2 linked regions of the Saccharomyces cerevisiae S288C genome follow. The protein of the gene in region 1 interacts with the protein of each later gene in a biochemical or structural test. Each region holds a gene or a part of one and is shown in the gene's direction. Other genes may lie near its edges.

Region 1 (3,814 bases):
GCCAATTTACCATCTGGGGTTTGTGATGGCAAAACAACAGAAGGAGAAGAGTATGCAGTTCTTGTTACCCAAGTAGAATGGAAGACGAAAAGATACAAATAAAAGATGAATGATCCGGAAACAATCAATTTGGCCAGTAGTGCCGCAGGTTTGATGGCGTATTTGCGGTCACTTGTCTTGAAATCCAGGTAGATGTCAAATATCTTGGACAATGCGACGGCGGCGGACACACAGATGACTGGTGTCAAAGTCAACATCAATCTAACCATAACACCGGCAAAGTACGAACACAGAACGGAGTAAGCGATGACAAAAACGTGCTCGTCTTTCAAGTCGAGGAATAGTAGGAATACACCGGCGGGGAATAGCCAGATCAAAAAGTGGGTATCAAAGAAGAAAGCGGGCCACGAAACGGGTTGATGTTCGGAAACGGAGGCAATGATAGGAATGTGGATCTTTGCGTAGTTGGTATCCCATAACGAATAAAATCTACCAGTCCAAGGGGCAATCAACCCCATATAGGTCAAGGCAGAAAGTCCGACCACACCAAGGACCAAGATCAAAAACAGAGAAACCATCATGATGACTTTAAACTTAGCTGTGCTGATTTGGCCCTTCACGAAGTCACCGAAGGCGACAATCTGAATCAAACCGAAAACACCCAATGCGGCCATGTGGTCGTTAGACCTGATAGGTAGGAAACCGACAAATGGGATCTGCATGGATGCAACAGTTCCAATAGCGTACCAAGTGGTGTAGGCAGAATACAGTTTGGACGAATATCTGCCCATCAAAATCAGCAAAAAGACATGGAGTGGGATCAAGTTGGTGATGAACACGTATCCACCCCAAGCCGACACCATGTAGAAGTAGAATAAAGCTGCACACGTTGCGTGCATGATAGAGCCAGTCTTTTGGGCCTTAATCCAAAACATGAAAGTGACCATTAATAGTGTAATGGCAATGGCCTCATTATCGTAGGACCCCGCCACTGATCTAGATATATAACCGGGGACAATGGCTATAAAACCAGCAGCCAAAAGCCCAGCGCTGGCATCTTTAATCTCTTTCGTAAATTCGTAAGTCGCCCAGGCGGTGACCCCAGAAAATAGTGGCGCAAATAGCACACAAACGTTTCTGATGTCAATGGGCAAGCCCAACCAGTTGCGCAGGGCGTGCCAGATGAACGCACTAGTCGTCATCAAACCAGGATATAAAGTCCCTCCAGTAACCCTTCCGAGGGGGTACCAGGTACGGTCGTCAAACCAGTTCAAAAACTTGTAAAACGAATTGTTGACGAGATATTTGGTAGCCCTATAATTGAACCAGGGGTCGAATTCATGGATAATAGACTCAAATTTGATGACTGCAAACAAACGTGATGATATGGCAGCCCCAAAAATCGCCACGAAGATGACGAGCTTGAGGATGGTCTGAAACACAGACAAAACACACGACCGGTCGGATCCCATGGCAGCTGTGATAATGACGAATGGTAGTTAGGATTTACGGCTGTGAATGCGATTGCGGATGCTATGTCACGTTGAATTAGACCGTGCTTTTGCTGCTTTTCTTTCTTTCAGACTTGCTCTTTTGTTCGTGTCTTATTTTGTCAATTCTCGACCAGCGCGAAAAAGCAACCGTCGATGGTGACCATTTAGCAGAGGCGAAGAGAAGTAAAAGAAAGCTTATGATATGACTATTGAGACCTGGAATAGGTACGAAGCGCCAGTGAGGAGGACTGGGCAGCACAGTTGTAGTGGAGACCAGAATGACTGCGTTGCATAGTGTGTCCAAAACGCCCGCGATCAAGGAAGAGGAGGAGGACGGTGATGAGCGAGACGGCAGAGGAGTTCCCCTGGGACCAAGGAACCATGACTACCGTGGCAGGAAAGGTGATGAGGAAAGCGGTGCTGACACCGTGACATCTCCCATCACGTTTGAAAAGAAGAAGATAGCGCCCAGGGCGTCAACGCATTCCGAACAGAGTATTTTGAGCAGCATCTCATTGAAATCGATGGTAAATCAACATCGTCAGCAGCAGTTGCAGCAAGAGAGCTCAACAGGGGCAGGCACTGGGTTTGTTGACAGAAAGCAGCAGATCCAATCTCCGGCGATGGTGTCCATATTGAGGAAGAACTCTGCTGAGGAGAATGTTCGCAGCAGCCACAGTAGCAAGCTCGGTGAAGGGCAGATAGATGGTAGGAAGGCTTCTGCTAGTAAGGAGATCGGCAAGACGTTGCCATTCACGGATGACCAAAGATCGAACCCTGAACTAGATCCCACCAATAGCGTGGTGGATGTTAGCAGGGGCAAGAATACAAAGAGCAAAACTGTGTTCAATGAGTTAGAAGATGATGCCGATGACGATGACGAGGTTCGACAAAAGAATCTAACCACGCAGGCGTTACGCAAGTTGTCGTCGTTCAAAATGAATGCTAGTTCTAATTTGAGGTTGAGTAAAGAAAACAAGGCGAAAGAGTCTTCATCTTCGTCCACGTCTTCAGTGTCGTCATCGTCGACGTCGAAGGTGGAAAATATTGTCGACAAGCTGACTACAACGAATTCTAGCTCGATGTCCCAACTGCGGTTTGGCAACACGAACGTCATTATTGATTCGGTGAATCATGCGGCGAAACCGCCGCATCAGCAGATGCTAAGGAAACCCTCGCTGGAATTTTTACCGCAGCCTGCTTCGAGCACTAATCTGAATTTTAATTCCAATAAACATAAATCAAATGTAAGACAGATCAGTAACCCTAAAAAACCGCTATACATCCCCGCCGTGCTGAGGAAAGTTTCAGAGACAAACATAACTAATGACGATCTGTTGAATGCAACATTGTCGTCTTACTACAAGAAGGCATCTAACCTGGAACATGGCTTTAATCCAAGCAAGTCGCAATCCGCTAGCGTTCAGAATGCGAACAACCTACGGATCATATCTTCTCAATCCAGCGTACAATCCAACACATCGTCAATCTTGGAAAGCTACAAAAACAAAATATCCTCGTACTTGTTCCCGAATTCTATTCCGAACAGCGACAGAATCAACTTAATACCAACTATTTCAAACAGAAACTCTGCCAGAGTAAACCCGCCCACTAAGGACCACTGGATTCCGGACAGTAAGAGGAATTCTTGTCGTTACTGCCATAAGCCTTTTACCCTGTGGGAAAGGAAACATCATTGCAGGCATTGCGGGGACATCTTTTGTCAAGACCATTTGCGCCATTGGCTGTACCTGGACTCGCAGGCAAATTTTATAATGATCAACGAACTAAACAACGGTGGCATAAATGGCGGTGGCACTCTCTGTAAAATATGCGATGACTGTCTGGTCGAGTACGAGAACCTTTCAACCACGAACCATAACGCAAACACGAACGAGGATAACATAAACGTTGAGGAGGGCGAAGATGACGATAATGACAATAGGAAGAAATTACGCAATTACTACAAGAATAGGCAGATGAACGCTCTTTTCAGACCAAAGAAGGGCGGTTCGTCCCAAGAGCATGCCACGGTTGATCGAGACACAACAACGCCCATCCAGGTGAAGTCGAACGACGAAGAAGCAGATAATGAGAATACGGGGGGAGAACAAGAAGAAGGTAATGATGTTTTGGGCAGTGTTATCGGCTCTGTGCCTGCAAACTGGAATTGGAGTAGTTTCTGATGAACATTTTTTGCGAGACAAGCGAAGAGAGGATGTACACTATTGATGTATGACCATTATGTATACAATAAACTTAATATAATATGATATAATATAATATAATATATAACACTAACACTTTCCTGAGGATTTTCG
Region 2 (8,294 bases), on another chromosome or scaffold:
GTTCTACCTGGACTGCGTTTTTGTCAGTTGACGATACTATTTTCAGCACACATGATAATTGCTTTGACTTATCAAACGATCAAAATGAGGGTGGTTCGGGCTACGACTTTATTTTAGAATCGACGGACACTACTAAAGTTACTCCCATAGTTCCTGTCCCAATTCACGTAAGCAGATCTCTGACTGGTAATGGACAAGATCGTGGTGGAATGCGTATTGTTTTCCATAACGACAATGATACCCCTGTGAAGTTGATTTATTTCGAATCATTGCCATGGTTCATGAGAGTTTACCTATCCTCTCTTCAAATTACTTCTACTACCTCTCCGCAATTGCAAGAAAACGATATCATCTTAGATAAATACTATTTACAAGCGGCCGATAGAAAAAGACCTGGCCACTTGGAGTTCACGATGTTAATTCCAGCTAATACGGACATTGTAATGACTTATCAATTCGATAAAGCTCTTCTGCAATTTGCCGAGTATCCACCAGATGCAAACCATGGTTTTGAAATCGATGCAGCTGTAATCACCGTGCTATCTTTGGAGTCCTCATCGTCTCTTTATGAAATGAGAACCTCTACCCTATTGTTATCCCTGTCTACACCGGATTTTAGTATGCCGTATAACGTCATCATTCTAACATCTACAATCATGGGACTCATATTCGGTATGCTATACAATTTGATGGTGAAGAGAATGGTCACCGTCGAAGAGGCCGATAAGATTACGTTGCAATCTGGCTTAAAATACAAATTGCTAAAGCTAAAGGAAAAGTTCCTAGGGAAAAAAAAGACTAAAACAGACTAACAATCTAGCATCTAGATATGTGTATGAAGTATACGTAGTTTACATAATCTGGAAGCACTCACTATTTACCATCAGTTTCTACTTTTTAAAAGGGATCCTCATATGGATCCTCTTCATCATAATCGTCATCCTTTTCGTACTCATAAACAATAGCACCCCCTTGTCCAAAGCTTTGTGCCTCCAGAAAAGGCAATGCGACTTGATCTTTGGCCAGCTTCTGTTTGTTGGATGTTCCTAGGTTGAATGTTGTTAATCCTTGCAACATTTCGGGTGTCTCCAGTCCGTTACTACTGCTCTCCTCTTCTTGCTTAGTGGTTGATAATAATTCATATTCGTGGGTGTTTGAATTTACTATGAAGTCGTATTCCAATGACCTGCCGGACTTTCTTTTATTAACAAGTCGTAATTGAAATATATCGTTATTTAACCCGCGAGGAATTCTAAATTCGTTTAACAATTCACTCACCTCCTCAGTATCGAGAGTGCCTGTTAATACCACATCAATATCTACTATTGTAGTGGCCATAAACTGCAGTAAAGTCAACTTATCAGGATAATTGTTATTCCAATCAGGTATTACCGTACGGTTCTCATCTTTGATGTCTTTATGATAAGTCGCAACCATCGTGCAGTGAGGAGAGGCGATCTCAGACAAAAACCTTGTTATGTATTCTGTAGAAATATAGTTCAATGAATCGATAATGACCATGTGCTTTTTTGCCTGTGTGGCAGTAGCAGCCGGTAGATATGATATAATTTGTTTCACTAAATGTACAAAATCCATCTGCGTAGCGTCAATAAATTGAGTACAGTACGATGGTTTATTCACTGTTTCGAACGAAATGTACACAATTGGATACTCATTTCCTTTACTCTTGCTCTGGTGGACGAATTCTTGGATGAGCTTGTATGAGGTCTGGGCAATAGAATCTAAGCACAAAATGAAAGGGGAGCTTTCTGTGAGCGATAAGATTCTTTTCAAAAGAATGACAGGGTTATGTGACGAACTGGCCATTATATCTTGTTCTACCTGTAGCAATAGCTTGGGTTGGAGCTATTAAAAAGCTCTTAAGTTATCATTCTCCAGAGGTTATAATGGCATCGCTTCTTATATTTGGATTTTTCAAGGTGACCCGCACTATGAGATGATAATCAAGGCAGCATTAATAGTATCAAAAATACTTTAATAAATCATCAATAGGTAGTACTTTACATAAGTATATAGAGGATTTTAAAACTTGTAAAGTTATTTTCGAATGCATTTGGTTTGTAGATTCCTTTGATTACATTTAGCGAATCCTATTGCATGCAGAGAAGGGTAAAAGATACATAATGCCGGAGATTTATGGACCTCAGCCATTAAAGCCACTCAATACGGTGATGAGACATGGGTTTGAAGAGCAATACCAAAGTGACCAACTTTTACAATCACTCGCGAATGATTTCATATTCTACTTTGATGATAAACGACACAAAACTAATGGAAATCCGATTCCTGAAGAGGATAAACAACGAGATGTAAATCGTTATTACCAGCCGATTACCGATTGGAAGATTATGAAAGATCGACAGAAGACAGTAAGTGCGGCCCTTTTATTATGCTTGAATTTAGGTGTCGATCCCCCTGATGTTATGAAGACACATCCCTGTGCCAGAGTTGAAGCATGGGTAGACCCATTGAATTTCCAGGACTCGAAGAAAGCAATAGAACAAATTGGTAAAAACTTACAAGCACAGTACGAAACTCTGTCTTTGAGAACACGCTATAAACAAAGCTTGGATCCTTGTGTAGAGGATGTCAAACGGTTTTGCAACTCGCTAAGAAGAACTTCTAAGGAAGATAGGATACTTTTCCACTACAACGGACATGGTGTGCCTAAGCCTACAAAATCAGGTGAAATTTGGGTTTTCAACAGAGGTTATACACAATATATTCCGGTATCTTTGTATGACCTGCAAACTTGGTTAGGTGCGCCATGTATATTTGTCTATGATTGCAACAGTGCTGAAAATATATTAATCAACTTTCAGAAGTTTGTGCAAAAGAGGATTAAAGATGATGAAGAGGGAAATCATGATGTTGCCGCGCCATCACCAACTTCAGCTTATCAAGATTGTTTCCAATTAGCCTCTTGCACTTCCGATGAACTTTTACTTATGAGTCCGGAACTACCCGCAGATTTGTTTAGTTGTTGTTTGACCTGTCCAATAGAGATTAGCATCCGTATCTTTCTCATGCAGTCACCCTTAAAAGATTCTAAATATAAAATTTTCTTCGAAAATAGTACTTCAAATCAACCGTTTGGTGATAGTAAGAACTCGTTCAAGTCCAAAATACCCAACGTCAATATCCCTGGAATGTTGTCGGATAGGAGAACGCCGTTGGGAGAACTAAATTGGATTTTTACAGCTATAACGGACACAATTGCATGGACATCCCTCCCCCGACCACTTTTCAAAAAATTATTCAGACATGATTTAATGATTGCTGCGCTTTTCAGAAATTTTCTTCTAGCCAAAAGAATAATGCCGTGGTACAATTGCCATCCTGTATCTGATCCAGAATTACCAGATAGTATAACCACACATCCAATGTGGAAATCTTGGGATTTAGCCATGGATGAAGTACTGACTAAAATAGTCATTGATCTGAAAAATGCTCCTCCCGCTACTGCCTTAGAGAGTCAGATGATTCTACAACAACAAGAAACCTTACAGAATGGTGGCAGCTCTAAGTCGAATGCCCAAGATACGAAAGCCGGAAGTATTCAAACACAATCGAGATTTGCAGTGGCCAATTTAAGTACAATGTCTCTAGTAAATAACCCTGCTCTCCAATCAAGAAAATCTATATCTTTGCAAAGCTCACAGCAACAATTACAGCAGCAGCAACAACAACAACAACAATTTACAGGATTTTTTGAACAAAATTTGACTGCTTTTGAATTGTGGTTGAAATATGCTTCAAATGTCAGACACCCGCCTGAGCAGCTTCCTATCGTTTTACAGGTTCTTCTTTCGCAAGTGCATCGTATACGTGCGTTGGTACTTTTATCCAGATTTTTAGATTTAGGCCCGTGGGCTGTCTACCTGTCACTTTCAATAGGTATCTTCCCCTACGTTTTGAAGCTGCTACAAAGTCCAGCACCTGAGTTGAAGCCCATCCTAGTTTTTATTTGGGCCCGTATCATGTCAATAGATTACAAAAACACGCAAAGTGAATTAATCAAAGAAAAGGGTTATATGTATTTTGTTACAGTGTTAGTACCTGATTGGGGTGTTAATGGCATGTCAGCTACAAATGGCTCAGCCATGATAAATAGTGGGAACCCGTTGACAATGACTGCATCGCAGAATATAAATGGTCCATCTTCAAGATATTATGAACGCCAGCAAGGAAATAGAACATCCAACTTGGGCCACAATAATCTTCCATTTTATCATTCTAATGATACCACCGATGAACAAAAAGCTATGGCTGTCTTTGTTTTGGCATCATTCGTTCGAAACTTTCCTCTGGGGCAAAAAAATTGTTTTAGTTTGGAACTGGTCAACAAGTTGTGCTTTTATATTGATAATTCTGAGATACCCCTACTAAGACAGTGGTGTGTTATTTTATTAGGTTTATTGTTTGCTGATAACCCCTTAAACAGGTTTGTATGTATGAATACTGGTGCTGTTGAAATATTACTAAAATCTTTGAAGGACCCTGTACCTGAAGTTAGAACAGCTTCTATATTTGCATTGAAGCATTTCATATCTGGATTTCAAGATGCAGAGGTAATTTTGAGATTGCAACAAGAATTTGAAGAACAGTATCAGCAATTACATTCGCAATTACAGCATCTCCAAAATCAATCCCATCTACAACAACAACAGTCCCAGCAACAGCAGCAGCATCTTGAGCAGCAGCAGATGAAAATTGAAAAGCAGATTCGTCATTGTCAAGTTATGCAAAATCAACTAGAAGTTATTGATTTGAGGAAGTTAAAAAGACAGGAAATTGGCAACTTGATCTCAATCTTACCTTTAATCAATGATGGTTCATCATTAGTCCGTAAGGAACTAGTCGTATATTTTTCGCATATTGTGAGTCGTTACTCTAACTTTTTTATTGTAGTTGTATTCAATGATTTGTTGGAAGAAATAAAACTTTTAGAGAAAAGTGATATCAATACTCGAAACACTTCCGATAAGTATTCAGTTAGTCAGGGTTCCATTTTCTACACTGTTTGGAAATCTCTCTTGATTCTAGCCGAAGATCCCTTTTTAGAGAACAAGGAATTATCCAAGCAGGTTATAGATTATATTTTGCTTGAATTAAGCGCCCATAAGGAACTTGGTGGACCATTTGCAGTTATGGAAAAATTTTTGTTGAAAAGAAGCTCGAAAGCTCACCAAACTGGTAAATTTGGATTTAATTCTTCGCAGGTTCAATTTGTAAAAAGTTCATTACGATCATTCTCACCAAATGAGAGGGTAGATAATAATGCATTCAAAAAAGAGCAACAACAGCATGACCCAAAGATATCTCATCCAATGCGGACATCTTTAGCTAAACTTTTCCAGAGTCTTGGTTTTAGCGAATCCAATAGTGACTCTGATACTCAATCATCAAATACTTCGATGAAATCGCATACCTCAAAAAAGGGTCCCTCGGGCTTATATTTATTGAATGGCAATAATAATATTTATCCTACAGCTGAGACTCCAAGATTCCGGAAGCATACAGAACCCTTACAATTGCCATTAAATAGTTCCTTTTTAGACTATTCACGTGAATATTTTCAAGAACCACAAATGAAAAAGCAAGAGGCGGATGAACCTGGCAGTGTTGAGTATAATGCTAGATTGTGGAGACGTAACAGAAATGAAACTATTATCCAGGAAACACAGGGGGAGAAAAAATTATCGATTTATGGGAATTGGTCCAAAAAATTGATTAGTTTAAATAACAAAAGTCAACCAAAACTGATGAAGTTTGCCCAGTTTGAAGATCAGCTGATTACTGCAGATGATAGAAGTACCATTACAGTTTTTGATTGGGAGAAAGGAAAGACTTTGTCCAAATTCTCCAATGGTACTCCTTTTGGCACAAAAGTTACTGACCTGAAACTCATTAACGAGGATGACTCCGCCCTTTTATTGACAGGTTCTTCAGACGGTGTTATCAAAATATACAGAGACTACCAAGATGTCGACACCTTTAAAATTGTATCCGCCTGGAGAGGCTTGACCGATATGTTATTGACACCTAGATCCACAGGTTTACTAACCGAATGGTTACAAATAAGAGGATCATTGTTAACAACTGGTGATGTTAAGGTTATCCGTGTCTGGGATGCGCATACAGAAACGGTTGAAGTGGACATTCCTGCAAAAACATCATCTTTAATTACATCCTTGACGGCTGATCAGCTAGCAGGTAATATCTTCGTAGCAGGGTTTGCAGATGGCTCCCTGAGAGTATATGATCGCCGTCTCGATCCAAGAGATTCCATGATACGTCGCTGGAGAGCTGGAAATGATAAGCAGGGAGTTTGGATTAACAATGTTCATTTACAAAGAGGTGGTTACAGAGAATTGGTCAGTGGAGCTACCAATGGTGTTGTAGAGTTATGGGATATAAGGTCCGAAGATCCGGTAGAATCGTTTGTTGATCAAAACGTAACTTCTCAGTACGGTTCGCAACAAAAACCAACGACAATGACGTGCATGCAGGTTCATGAGCATGCTCCGATAATTGCGACAGGGACTAAACAAATAAAGATATGGACGACATCTGGAGATCTTTTGAATTCTTTTAAAAACTCACATAATAATGGCGTAACAAGTACATTAGCCGCTACGGGAATCCCAAAGTCACTGTCCTACTCTTCCACTTCTGATGCATTTTTATCTTCGATGGCTTTCCATCCTCATAGAATGATGATTGCGGCCACCAATTCTCACGATTCTATTGTAAATATCTACAAGTGTGAAGACGAGAGAATTGATTATTTTTGATATGTGCCATTTCTTTTTTTTTCTTTCATTTAGCTGCAAAAGAGATATATATATATATATATATATAATCTATTATATAATAAAAGTCGAGTAAAAAATTGGTCTGATTGTGAATTTAACAGCTGGTCGCAAGTTCTGGAATTTGTTGTTAATTATTGTTTCATGTTCGTATAATAATACGATGTTTAGTAAAGCAGAAAGTTCAGAATATTAAAAGTCTGTTCCAATAGTGTAGCGGCTATCACGTTGCCTTCACACGGCAAAGGTCCCGAGTTCGATCCTCGGTTGGAACATTTTAACATCGATTTTTTTGTTTGTCATAGCCAGACCAATTACGACGTTTAGAGGCATGCACTTTGTTAAATATTTTTTCTCTCTCCTTCGACATATTTTTTTTCCTGTTTACGTAACATTCATCCCCAGTCTTTGTATCATTTTTTTTTTTTTTTGGTGATGCGACAGCAATTCTGGCCGACACAGTCGTTTTCAAAGAAAAACTACCACAAACTATGGAACATAATTGAAAACAAAAACATTTACTTATAACCTACATAATGATTGAAGATACTTCATTGATCTTTACCACCTTCCTCGTTGAAATCTTTTCTACCATAGTCAGTATTTTTGGGAATTTTATAAAAACGCAAATTTTATCGAAATGAATCAAGGTTACACACAGCTTTCCGCACCGGAACTGAAGGAGACTAAAACATCGAAGCTAAATAAAATGAACAACTTTCGAAGCTCTCCGATTGCTGAGATAATTAATAAGATACCACCAGATTGCGGGAAGATACAGAATACAACATTTCCTGAGTTCAATCCAGCGTTAAGAAGACGACAACACGAACAGTGGCCTGCATACGAAAAACCAATAAGAGTTACTGACAGTATGTCACCACAGCTTTCTTCAATCAATTGTTTGCCAAATTTGTATCCCCACGGTACGCTACCATTACCAAACCCTTATTTATCCTATTTAAATCACATTGAAAAAGTTAATTGCCAAGATGTCAAGTTTAGTAACTGGAGTGTTTTACATAATTCGAATAATGGATTTGAAATTCCGACATATTTCAGTCCACGGACAACACAAAACATGCCTTGTTCCGAAAAAGTTGAAAGCTGGCTTGAAAGATTACCAATTTTTGTGGGGTTCGACGGTTATTTATTTACAAACTGCTTTGATTATGAATATATGTTGGATTGGGAAGAGACAGAATTTACATTCGAGAAAACATCATGTATGGAGACGGATTATTCTAAAGCTTTAACCGATACTGATATTATATATATTCAAGAGAAAAAAATTGAAGCGTTGATAAGAAACCAATATCTGAAGGAGTATGAATTTTCTCAAAAAGATTTTTGAATTTTGAAGAAAGCCATTAATATTTAAATGTAATTTTGTGTAGAATTATAATAAATTGATGTTTATGTATAGATCTCTCGAAATATATTTAAGAATATATAAAT

What was found.
Region 2: the proteins of PIB2 (region 1) and KOG1 form a complex in vitro, tested with the Saccharomyces cerevisiae proteins (one study listed by BioGRID).

Annotation. Positions count from the first base shown.
Region 1 is NC_001139.9:450,062-453,875, reverse strand, and holds PIB2 (Pib2p), read left to right. Parts: upstream 1-1,771; coding exon 1,772-3,679; downstream 3,680-3,814. Other genes in the region: dolichyl-diphosphooligosaccharide--protein glycosyltransferase subunit STT3, read right to left, coding at 1-1,472. UniProt on the Saccharomyces cerevisiae protein: Functions as an intracellular glutamine sensor that directly activates the TORC1 signaling pathway, to promote cell growth when glutamine is available. May play a role in repressing NPR1 activity independently of TORC1 signaling.
Region 2 is NC_001140.6:474,523-482,816, reverse strand, and holds KOG1 (ubiquitin-binding TORC1 subunit KOG1), read left to right. Parts: upstream 1-2,144; coding exon 2,145-6,818; downstream 6,819-8,294. Other genes in the region: GPI-anchor transamidase subunit GPI16, read left to right, coding at 1-812; Elongator subunit IKI1, read right to left, coding at 898-1,827; PFS1 (Pfs1p), read left to right, coding at 7,477-8,190. UniProt on the Saccharomyces cerevisiae protein: Component of TORC1, which regulates multiple cellular processes to control cell growth in response to environmental signals. Nutrient limitation and environmental stress signals cause inactivation of TORC1.